Linked DNA regions of Arabidopsis thaliana. The protein of the gene in region 1 interacts with the protein of each later gene in a biochemical or structural test. Each region holds a gene or a part of one and is shown on either strand. Other genes may lie near its edges.

What was found. Proteins that work in one complex are often made in the same cells at the same time.
Region 2: the proteins of TIP2 (region 1) and TSPO form a complex in vitro, tested with the Arabidopsis thaliana proteins (one study listed by BioGRID).

Annotation. Positions count from the first base shown.
Region 1 is NC_003074.8:9,720,994-9,726,632, forward strand, and holds TIP2 (tonoplast intrinsic protein 2), read right to left. Parts: upstream 2,912-5,639; 5' UTR 2,711-2,911; coding exon 2,324-2,710; intron 2,152-2,323; coding exon 1,777-2,151; 3' UTR 1,450-1,776; downstream 1-1,449.
Region 2 is NC_003071.7:19,565,785-19,570,938, forward strand, and holds TSPO (TSPO(outer membrane tryptophan-rich sensory protein)-like protein), read left to right. Parts: upstream 1-2,679; 5' UTR 2,680-2,916; coding exon 2,917-3,507; 3' UTR 3,508-3,723; downstream 3,724-5,154. Other genes in the region: ALG3 (asparagine-linked glycosylation 3), read right to left, coding at 1-65, 153-209, 289-367, 440-549, 639-755, 851-939, 1,129-1,182, 1,278-1,344 and 5 more; AT2G47780 (Rubber elongation factor protein (REF)), read left to right, coding at 4,292-4,615, 4,697-5,080. UniProt on the Arabidopsis thaliana protein: Stress-induced membrane protein that can bind heme and may play a role in the transport of tetrapyrrole intermediates during salt stress and contribute to the detoxification of highly reactive porphyrins in the cytoplasm.

The DNA of each region.
Region 1 (5,639 bases):
ATTGGCTGGTATGCATGCACCCAAATAAATATCAGCCATGTGCCACTGATGAACTTCTTATATTTCAGAATAGCTCTCAGTCAATAAGTGTAAGTGTACTCCATAGTTTTTTACCGAACCAAATGTTTTATTTTACTATCATTTTTTTACCTTATAATGCAAATGTTTTGTCCACTAATATCAAGAAAACCAAAATTAGAAGAATTTAAGTATAAGGTTAGAGATAACTGATTTCAAGGTTTCTTATAGATGTTAGGTTTGCATGTGTTGGTTTTTGTGTTTATCTAAGAATTTATCGACATCAATCTCTCTCTTTTTCTTTTAATGCCGTCAATGGGAAGACATATGGATTAGTGTGTGGCAGGATATGGAAAAGATTTATATAGAAAGAACAAAAAGGAAGGTAGGAACAATTAAGTAATGGTGCGGTGTACGAATGGTCCAACGTTGCACATGGTAATTGCATAGATCGTATATATGAACTGCATTATTGTCTTTGATTCTTTGTTCGTGGTTTGGTAAGCCTAGAGTTAGCTAGTTTTGTTAGTTCTAATCTATCTTAGCAAACTTTACGTCCAAACTATCAAAAATCAAGCTGGTTTATTAGAAGAACAAAAAAATGATCAATGTATTAGACCACCATCCACAATTCCACATGCATGCGTCGCTTTTAATCCAACTTTTTAGTTTTAAACATTCAATCGCTTGTATTGTTTTGGGTTGGTTTTTTGGTATTTTTTATGTTTACCCGAACGATTAAAAATTTTGGATCTACGATTTACGATAACTGATACTTTGGTTCTGGCATAGTCCCTAATAAATTAGGCTCATATGTGTTTGGAAGAGTTTCTTAATTTTTTTTGTTTTTAGCAGAACTATTGATTTTTTGTTTTTAGCAGAACTCTTGATCATGAATCATGTTATACTGTTATGGCCTGTGGGGTTGGTTATAGAGGTAGATGGTTCGTATACTGTCCAGACGTTTCACGAACTTTATTATCCATTAACCCCACAAAGATTTTAGCGAATCTATTCCCATCCATCTATTGCTATTCACGTTTTGAAACCAAACAAAATGAAATCCGAATGACGAAAATCTCCCTACAGATTCCCGCCGAAATGTTGGAAGAAGACTCACAAAGAAGGAAATAATAATGCTGTGATTGGAACGATATAGAAATGAAACGCATACATTGCAACCCAAAGTAATTTGAACCTTAGCTCATGAGTCATGACTTGTGTTTGTAAAGTTATTTGCGAATTGCTAGTATTATTTTTACACATGGAAGTCGAACCCCTCCTAAGTGTAACACTCGATGATTTTTCAACGCTTAATATACAATTTTAGCCTGGACATAAATCATGTGTAAATATGTACTACTGTAGTGTGTTGATATAAAATATAAAAAACGGAAATGAAAACCAAAAATATCAATCACAATGTTTATTATTCATTAAAATTTCCATGTCTCGTAAATTATGATCTAAATTAGTTAGGGCTCTTTAAGTAAAATAAACAATAACAAAAAAATTCATTTTCATAATTCACATTCCCTGGTTTTCTCAATTATAGTTATTAAACCGTACAATACAATTGCACAAAAGCCTTCCAGAGATATTACAACTCCAACAACAAACCCAAAGACACATAAATGATCAATCAATAGACAAAGATTCATCTAAAAATGATCCAACGGCCAGAAACCCATTACGATGCAAATTAAAAAAGCAAATCACGAAAAATTCATCAGATTAACAACGTTGAATTTGACGTCTTCAGTAATCGGTGGTAGGCAATTGCTCGTGGGCATTTTCATCGATGAAGACAAAGTCGTAGATAATTCCGGCGAGTCCACCACCAATAAGAGGACCAGCCCAGTAAACCCAGTGGTTGGTCCACGTCCAGCTTACGACGGCTGGTCCGAAAGCAACGGCTGGGTTCATGGAAGCTCCGCTGAAAGCTCCACCGGCGAGGATGTTAGCTCCAACGATGAAACCTATGGCGATTGGTGCGATTGTTCCGAGACTACCGTTCTTGGGGTCAACGGCTGTGGCGTAGACGGTGTAGACGAGCCCGAAGGTCATCACGATCTCGAAGACGAGAGCGTTTAATGATCCGACTCCGGCAGAGAGACCGAACGCTGGAATTGGCTGAAAAAACAATCATTTGCAAAAAGGTTTATTTACTTGCCGGAGAAGTTAGGTCAAACGGGTTATTTTAGTTGGAATATTCAATTGAATTTAGTTTTAAACCAAACCACAAAATAGAGAAACAGAGAATCGAAAATACTACTAAAATCTAATTAGGTGTAAGTGACGTTACCTCGCCACCGGTGGCAAAGCTAAGGAGGAAACAAGCGGCGACGGAGCCAAGAAGCTGAGCAATCCAGTAGAGAATACCACGGAGGAGAGTGATGTTACCACCGAGTAAGACACCGAAGGTAACGGCAGGGTTAACGTGGCCACCGGAAATGTTAGCGCCAACAGAGACAGCGACAAAGAGACCGAAAGCATGAGCTAAGGCAGCGGCGACGAGGCCGGAAGGAGTGGTTGCTCCATTGTCAGTGATCTTGTTGAAAGCAATTCCGGAGCCTGAGCCGGCGAAGACGAAGATCAAAGTCGAGATAAACTCAGCGAGCGCCGCCCTAAGTGCGTTGGGGTGATAGACCTCTTCTTGGACTCCACCAATGGCGATGTTTCTGGTCGGCATGATCGGAGAAAGATTTAACGGCTGAGGTTAAAAGCTTTTTGATTAGAGAGAGTGAAGTGATTGGTTTGTTTTTCTTATGTGTTGTACGTATATATATAGCCGAGTGTTTTCTTCTTCTTGATAGTTATAGATAAAATCCATTTCTTTGTCACATAAACAAATTATTTTGCATTTTTTTAAGGGTTAATTTACTGAATGACCAAATTTGACATCCTTATTAAGAGAATGACCTTCTCCCAGAAAAGTTGGGTATATAACGTTTTTTTACCATGCGAAATATCCGATATAGCCTCTACGGATGGGCGGCAAAACCATATTCCCGACAGCAGACTTGTAGATGTAGGGGAGCTAGAGATTGTAGGGCAATGATTACAACGTATCAAAAAAAAAAAGCATGCATTACTTATGCAGTTACTACTAAATAAAGCATGAACTATTTATGAGTGTAGATCTCAATTTAGAGCTTTCATTACTACAACTTTCTAAGTTTGTACTGAACGTTTCATAAAATACATGCAATTTACAACTGCAGCAGCATGTACTATGAAAGGATTTATTTCATTTTTTTTTTAAAAAAATAATCATTAAAAAACAAAAAAATTAGTATTGAAATGGAGTATATACCACGATATTGGGCTGGTAACTTTTTCGGGTGAGTATTGTACTGGATTGATTATTCAACAAGGTGAATGGGCTTTTACCTTGAATCTATGACCAGCAGAAGTACTACGATTTGGTAAACAGCACAAGTACTACGGAAACAACATGTGATGTTTTAAAATCACAATAATCATATCGGAGCAACTTGGAAAGAAAACATAAGAGAAAATTATTAGAAAAATTCCCGGATGTGACAATAAAAAGCGCGAGCAAAGAGAGATGGAGATACGTATCAGACGCATTTAATGCGGCGTCAGAGGATATACAGCTTCCAACGTAATATATTGTTGTATGTGTAAACCCTTTTCTTTAGTGTAGCACTTTTTAACACAAGGTTTGTGTGCTTATGCTATACGCTACAAAATGGCAGGTCGATAAGTTGACACGTTGGTCAATGACGTCAAGATTACGAATAGGCAAGTGGGGGCAGAAGATATACTGAATCTATACCTCGGTTCACGGAAATGTGTAAAGCAAAGACTAAGTAAATCACATGGTTATTTTGACGATAACATGCAATACAAATAAAGAACACTTAACACTTCGATTTGACATTGGTTAATTGTGTAAAGCAAGGTTTGTGTGCTTATGCTATACGCTACAGAATGGCAGGTCGTTAAGTTGACACGTTGGTCAATGACGTCAAGATTACGAATAGGCAAGTGGGGGCAGAAGATATACTACCTCGGTTCACGAAAATGTGTAAAGCAAAGACTAAGTAAATCACCTGGTTATTTTGACGATAACATGCAATACAAATAAAGAACACTTAACACTTCGATTTGACATTGGTTAATTGTGTAAAGCAAGGTTTGTGTGCTTATGCTATACGCTACAGAATGGCAGGTCGTTAAGTTGACACGTTGGTCAATGACGTCAAGATTACGAATAGGCAAGTGGGGGCAGAAGATATACTACCTCGGTTCACGAAAATGTGTAAAGCAAAGACTAAGTAAATCACCTGGTTATTTTGACGATAACATGCAATACAAATAAAGAACGCTTACCACTTCGATTTGACATTCGTGAATTGTCGCTTCACGCCTCCCTCGGGTGTTGGGAGGGAAATCATACCGTTTTGAAATTCGCGTGGCTGCAAATGGTTAAGCAACTGTTACTAGAAATATCTTTAGTTACTGTAGCCCTAAAAAACAAAGTTAACCTTTTCTATAAAAGAAGAAAGATGGCAAGATATCATCTCTCACACCTCTACTTCTTCCTATAAAGCACACACTACGTATCCAACAACATCGAAGAACTCGATCATTTCTGTTTTGGTATGCAATTAATGAATGTTCTTTTGGTCGGGTTTGTTGCTATTTTTAAAAAACTCATGGTTGATTTATCTCTATTTAATGCAACTCTATTAATGTGTAGGTACCGATGGTGGTTATAACCGAAATAACCGACGATCGTTATGTCAGGACGGTGAGTGGCTCCTGGGCAATCGGAGCTGATGGAACATGGTTATTCATATCCAATCACAATAATGCAGTGAGGAGGTTGAGCATTGGGGAAGGGGAGAAGTTAGCATCTGTGCGCCAGCTTGTTAGAGAAGCGTACGGACAGGAATACGTTGAAGGCCCACTACACCTGACTTACCAATGGCCTGATTGGATGGACATGGAAACTACCTTTGGTGGGCGCACGAAGCCAGTAAGCATAACTTCAGAGGAGACAATGGGAGTGTTTCTAGCTATGCGTTTTGAGTTGGAGGACTTGAGTTTGTTTGTCTCCAAGCAAACGGTGGATGATGGTTCCGAAGATGGTGGAACAAGTCAGACTTCAAGTTACGGATTTGCAGATAAAGGCAAATCACCTTTATACGTCAACGCTGAACGATCACCTAACTACGAGTCCGTTGTGTGGAAAAGGCTTATGGATGACGAGGCGGTCCTCCGCTGGATGCGTTCAACGGAAACAGAAGGTCAAAACGTTGGAGACTCTTCTACCAACGTACAACAACACCCTGTGAGACCAGCTGTTGAGGCAGCTTCCCCGATGTTAACGACTGAAAGTATGGACACAGCGACTGAAGATGGAGATCAGGTAAAATATTCTGCGTTTATTAAATTCAGCCACTCGAATATACCATTACAGTACTAAGACATCTATTTACGCAGGAAGAAGACTCAACTGTTGTTGAGGCAGATTTACTTAAAAATCTGGGGTTACCGTCAATTAATTTAGCCACTGAATCTTACGACTCTCTCAGTGAAGGGGAAGCGTACAACGACGAAAACGACTATCCCGGGGGCGAGACAATTAA
Region 2 (5,154 bases), on another chromosome or scaffold:
CCGAGGAGGACGGTGTTGATGGATAAACATTCCAACAGAGCTCAATGCCGAGGAACATGATCAAGCTTTTACAGCCAAAAGAAAAACAAGAAGACGAGTTAGGTTTTGATATTTTAACTGTTGTTACAGTAAGAAATGCAGAAATAACTTACCGCAGCCAAGTGGGAAACGGTGTTCTCCATAGTAGATAAGGTAGCGAATAGAAGTACCTGTTATGATCATATGAGTATTGGGGTTGAGGCTAAGAATGTTCGAGAAACGTAAGATTTAGCCAGGTTATTTGGTTACCATGAGTAGAACTGGTAGTGCAGAGAGCGAGCAAATACAATGCCGATGAAATTCCCAACAAACATGGCCGTGACGACATCTGCGAATCAAGTGGAATGCCTGTAAGTATGGACATAGGGAAACATAAGCTAAAATAACAGTAAGAGCTTACGTTCTTTCGTAATAATCCGTGAGGCTGATACATCACTGAACGAGAGTGAAGACGGAAGTGTCAAGAAGAAATGCCTAGAACGCATGAAGCCTATAATCCCGCCTTCATGCCTATAAAATCAACATATTAATTACAACTAATGCTAAACACACAAACTGCAACTGCTTTCAAATTGCAGCTGCCTTATGATTGTACGTACTTGCACCACTTATAATTTGCGAACGCCACAAGGAGAAAAAGGTGAGCAATGAGCAAGCATACTGCAAATTCTTTGGACACAAAAACTCGTTCTGGAACAAATTTGAAGTTAACAGACCTGTTGAGAGCTCAAACTAGAGTTAGAGGTCAAAAGACATTTTTAGATCCCATCAACATGTTTTTTAGATTTGGCGGGAGAGAAGCGAACAATACCAGAAATGAATGAAAACACGTCCAAGATCAAAGGCGTTTGCTATGTATGAAACCGGATATGTTATCAGAAACGGCAGTCCCACGAGTATCTGTATAACCATTCATTGACCAGCTGAATGGTACTTCTTGCATAATCAAAACTATAATTCGCTGGATAATGCAACTCACCTATTTACATTGAAGAAACTACAGTTAACAAGTTTCCAAATTGTCTTGGAGAAACAATGCTACGCATACAAATTGGTGAATAAGAAGGCTTATAAGAGATATAGTGAAACCTGAACAAGAGCTGCACCAGCCAAAGCAGACACCACTCCAATGATATTCATGGCCTGTGAATAGTAAAACTTCACATATGAAGAAAAACAATGCTAGAAGAATAATAAAGCAAATCCATAAACTAATTCTCTTCCACGAACATATATACCTTAAGTAGCAGAAGTAACAAAGTTGGAGCATACAAAAGTACATTCATCTTTACAGAAACAGCTCCACTGTATAAAAAGAAGGGTAAGCAGACTAGTCAATCTAAAGAATCGAGAAGCAAAAGCAGCAATCTAACCTGAAAACAAGCATCCCTAGATGCCATTTACGATAGAGAAAGAGAGCCATTGATGCATGTAGGAGAGTCATGGCAAAACAATCATTAAAGAGACGGAGAACAAAGATTGAATGTATCCTCTTGGATAAACATAGTAGACTTAATGCCCACCATGGCACCTGAAATACGTAAGGATACAAGAAGAGATATCATCACTGAATTCACTAAAATCACTCCCATCATAAACAGACAAATCAAAACCAAAATATTGTTCATTAACATCGTAAATGGACAACGCTTGACAACGTCTACAAATACTTGATGAAAAGAGATAAGAAATAAGTCTTCATTTATACCACATCAGTCTTCACGTAGATGATCAAGACGATCCCCAGATTGACAATGTAGAGAACACCAAAAAGAATCTGCAAAATGTAAGAGAGTAGAATTGAGACAAATGAAGCGATGGATGGATCAAATTCCGCAGCTAATCCAAAGATAGGAGATTCAAAGAGAGGGAATTGCAAGCACCTGAGCAGGGTAGACTTCCCCTCCAGTTAAGTTCTGCACTGCAGAGTAAACATAGAGGAAACCTGCTGGATAAACCAATGGCCCTGTATCGCCTTTCAAGTTCCCATAGTCTCTCTCTCCCCCGAGAAACCCACTAACCTGCCCCAATTAGATAAATTTCACTTAAAGACTACTAGTTTACTTTGAAGAAACCACAGTTGACCATTGACACTTACCTGTGACATGTAAGCATCCCAATCGATCTTCGTGTCTGTTAAAGGCAAATGACGAAATTTGGTTTAAAACCTATGCAAATGCACATTTCGAGGGATACGCAAGCAAAAAAAAAAAGGAGGTAAATAGCTCTCACATGGAACATAGGCGATAATAAGTGCGACTAGGATTGCATCAGCAAGAATTAGCGCGAATGCGAATGGAACTGCAGGTTTTTTGAATAGATCGGATCGATTCGTCTCCTTCCCCAGCCGACGGCTACGAGAAGCTCTCAAACTCGCCGGTGATGAGGCGCCCGCCATGAAAACAGAGCAAATCGCATCAGCGTCTAGCCAACGCCGCGTAACAGACAACTACTTCCATATTACTACTCTTCTAATTAGCCCAAATTAAATGAGCCTATTGGGCTTCTTGTCTTAGTCGGTGTAGAGCCCAATTGTTGTTTTATTTTTTAATAATGCAAAAGTATTAAGCGATAAATAAATAAGCATCGCAATCGTCCCAAAACTGTGTGTATGCATCAGACATGAGCATATAGAGTAAGCACGTGTCCACACTTTTTCACAAAGTTATCTAAAAACAAAAAACAATTAATTAGCATTCGACGTGTACATATCACTCGCCACGTGTACAAGAGCCTTGGCCTTTTTGCTTCTTCTTCTTGTCTATTAATATCATCTCCTGATTATACTCTCTTTTGACCAAGCTGCTTCTTCTCCATCTATCCAACATCTCAAATCTCAGTAATCTTGTTCCTTCGATTCTGTTTTGGACGTTTGTAATGGATTCTCAGGACATCAGATACCGCGGCGGAGACGACAGAGACGCTGCAACGACGGCTATGGCCGAGACAGAGAGGAAAAGCGCTGACGACAACAAAGGAAAACGCGATCAAAAGAGGGCGATGGCGAAACGTGGTCTCAAGTCTCTGACGGTAGCGGTTGCGGCTCCTGTGCTCGTGACGCTCTTCGCTACGTATTTCCTCGGCACAAGCGACGGATACGGGAATCGAGCTAAGTCCTCGTCGTGGATCCCACCTCTGTGGCTCCTACACACAACGTGTCTCGCTTCTAGTGGTCTGATGGGTTTGGCTGCGTGGCTTGTATGGGTTGACGGTGGCTTCCACAAGAAGCCCAATGCTCTGTATCTTTACTTAGCTCAGTTTTTGCTCTGTTTGGTTTGGGATCCGGTTACGTTCCGCGTCGGGTCGGGAGTAGCGGGGCTTGCGGTGTGGTTGGGTCAATCGGCTGCGTTATTCGGATGCTACAAGGCCTTTAATGAGATAAGTCCGGTCGCTGGTAATCTGGTAAAGCCGTGTTTGGCTTGGGCTGCCTTTGTAGCCGCTGTTAATGTAAAGCTTGCAGTCGCGTGAGATCTGTAAACGCTATACGATGATGTTTGTAGAGTCTGAGTCATATGAGTGTTTCTTGTTGTTTTTGTTTTTTGTGATATATACCATAAAAGATGTCTTTGCGATCCAATGGTCTGGTCATTGTGGAGTAATAGACATGAACATGATATACTTGAGAAATAATGTGATATTGTAGAAGTTTTAAGCGTTGGTCTGAAATCAAACTGTGAGATTCTTAAAAGGCGATCGTTTTACTTTTATGTCGCCGAAACGGAACAAATTCAAACGGTAAAGCCAACTATACTTTGATCAGTTTTGGGTTGGGCCGTTGACACTGTTTTGTGGGCTTCTCAGTCAGTGGTAAACCTAAAATTAATATAGGAACTCGAGGATTAGGGCCCAATCCATTTTAACACGTGATGATATCATGTAAGGTTTGGAGGGAATATACAAAAAGTGGATGAATGATAGCGAACGAGAGGTCCTTGTGCTTTTTTGATTTACCCTCGAGACTCGTGCCGACGGAGTGGCCGTGGCTTTCGTGCAACAGTCTCGACCCATACCTCGACACGTGTTGAAAACGGTCCATTAAGAGTAAGACATCTGTCAATAGGACAGCTGTCCTAGAGGTCACTCGTCTCTCACAATCCAATCCCTTTCGCTTAAATTAAAACTAAAATGGAGCATGGCAGCAACATGCCACGTGGCTCACCAGTTTCAAATCTGAGCCGTCCGGTGTGATATAAGTCTTTTTAAAGAGAGAGAGAGCGGTTCGTTTGTCTGCAACGGCACCAAGTCTTTGACAATGGCTGAAGATGAAATAGTAGTCGAAGAAGAGCAATCACAGCCACAGGAGATTACTCCAGTTCCACCATCTTCTTCGTCTTCGCCTTCGTTAGTGGTGGAAGACGACGATGAGATGAAGCTCAAGCACTTGGAATTCATTCAAGTCGCGGCGGTTTACTTCGCCGCCTGTTTCTCGACCCTCTACGAGTTGGCTAAAGACAACGCTGGTCCACTCAAACTCGGCGTCGAGAACATTGAAGATTGCGTTCGAACCGTGCTTGCTCCATTATACGAAAAATTCCACGACGTTCCTTTCAAGCTTCTCCTTTTCGTCGATCGTAAGGTAACAATCAGAATGTAATTCTTAACTTGAATATCGCTTCGGTTTCATGAGTGAGAGGCAAATGATTTGCTTGGTTTTCAGGTGGACGATGTGTTCTTCGATGTTGAGACATATGTTCCGTCATTGGTGAAGCAAGCTTCTAGCCAAGCGCTCACGGTGGCCACGGAGGTGCAGCGCACCGGCGTTGTGGACACTACCAAGAGCATTGCAAGAAGCGTCCGGGACAAGTACGAGCCAGCGGCAGAGTATTACGCAGCGACGCTGTGGCGTTTACTGAATCAACTGCCGTTGTTCCCTGAAGTTGCGCATTTAGTGATCCCCACGGCGTTTTACTGGTCAGAGAAGTACAACGATGCGGTTCGTTACGTTGGCGACAGAGACTACTTTGGGGCAGAGTATCTACCCATGATTCCTATTGAGAAGATCTCTGATATTTTGGAACAAGATCAGTGTCGAGCTGATTGACTATTTACTCTTCTGAAGCCAAAGATTCCTTCTTCTATAGAGTATATATACTGTATGTACTCTGTTTTTCTTTC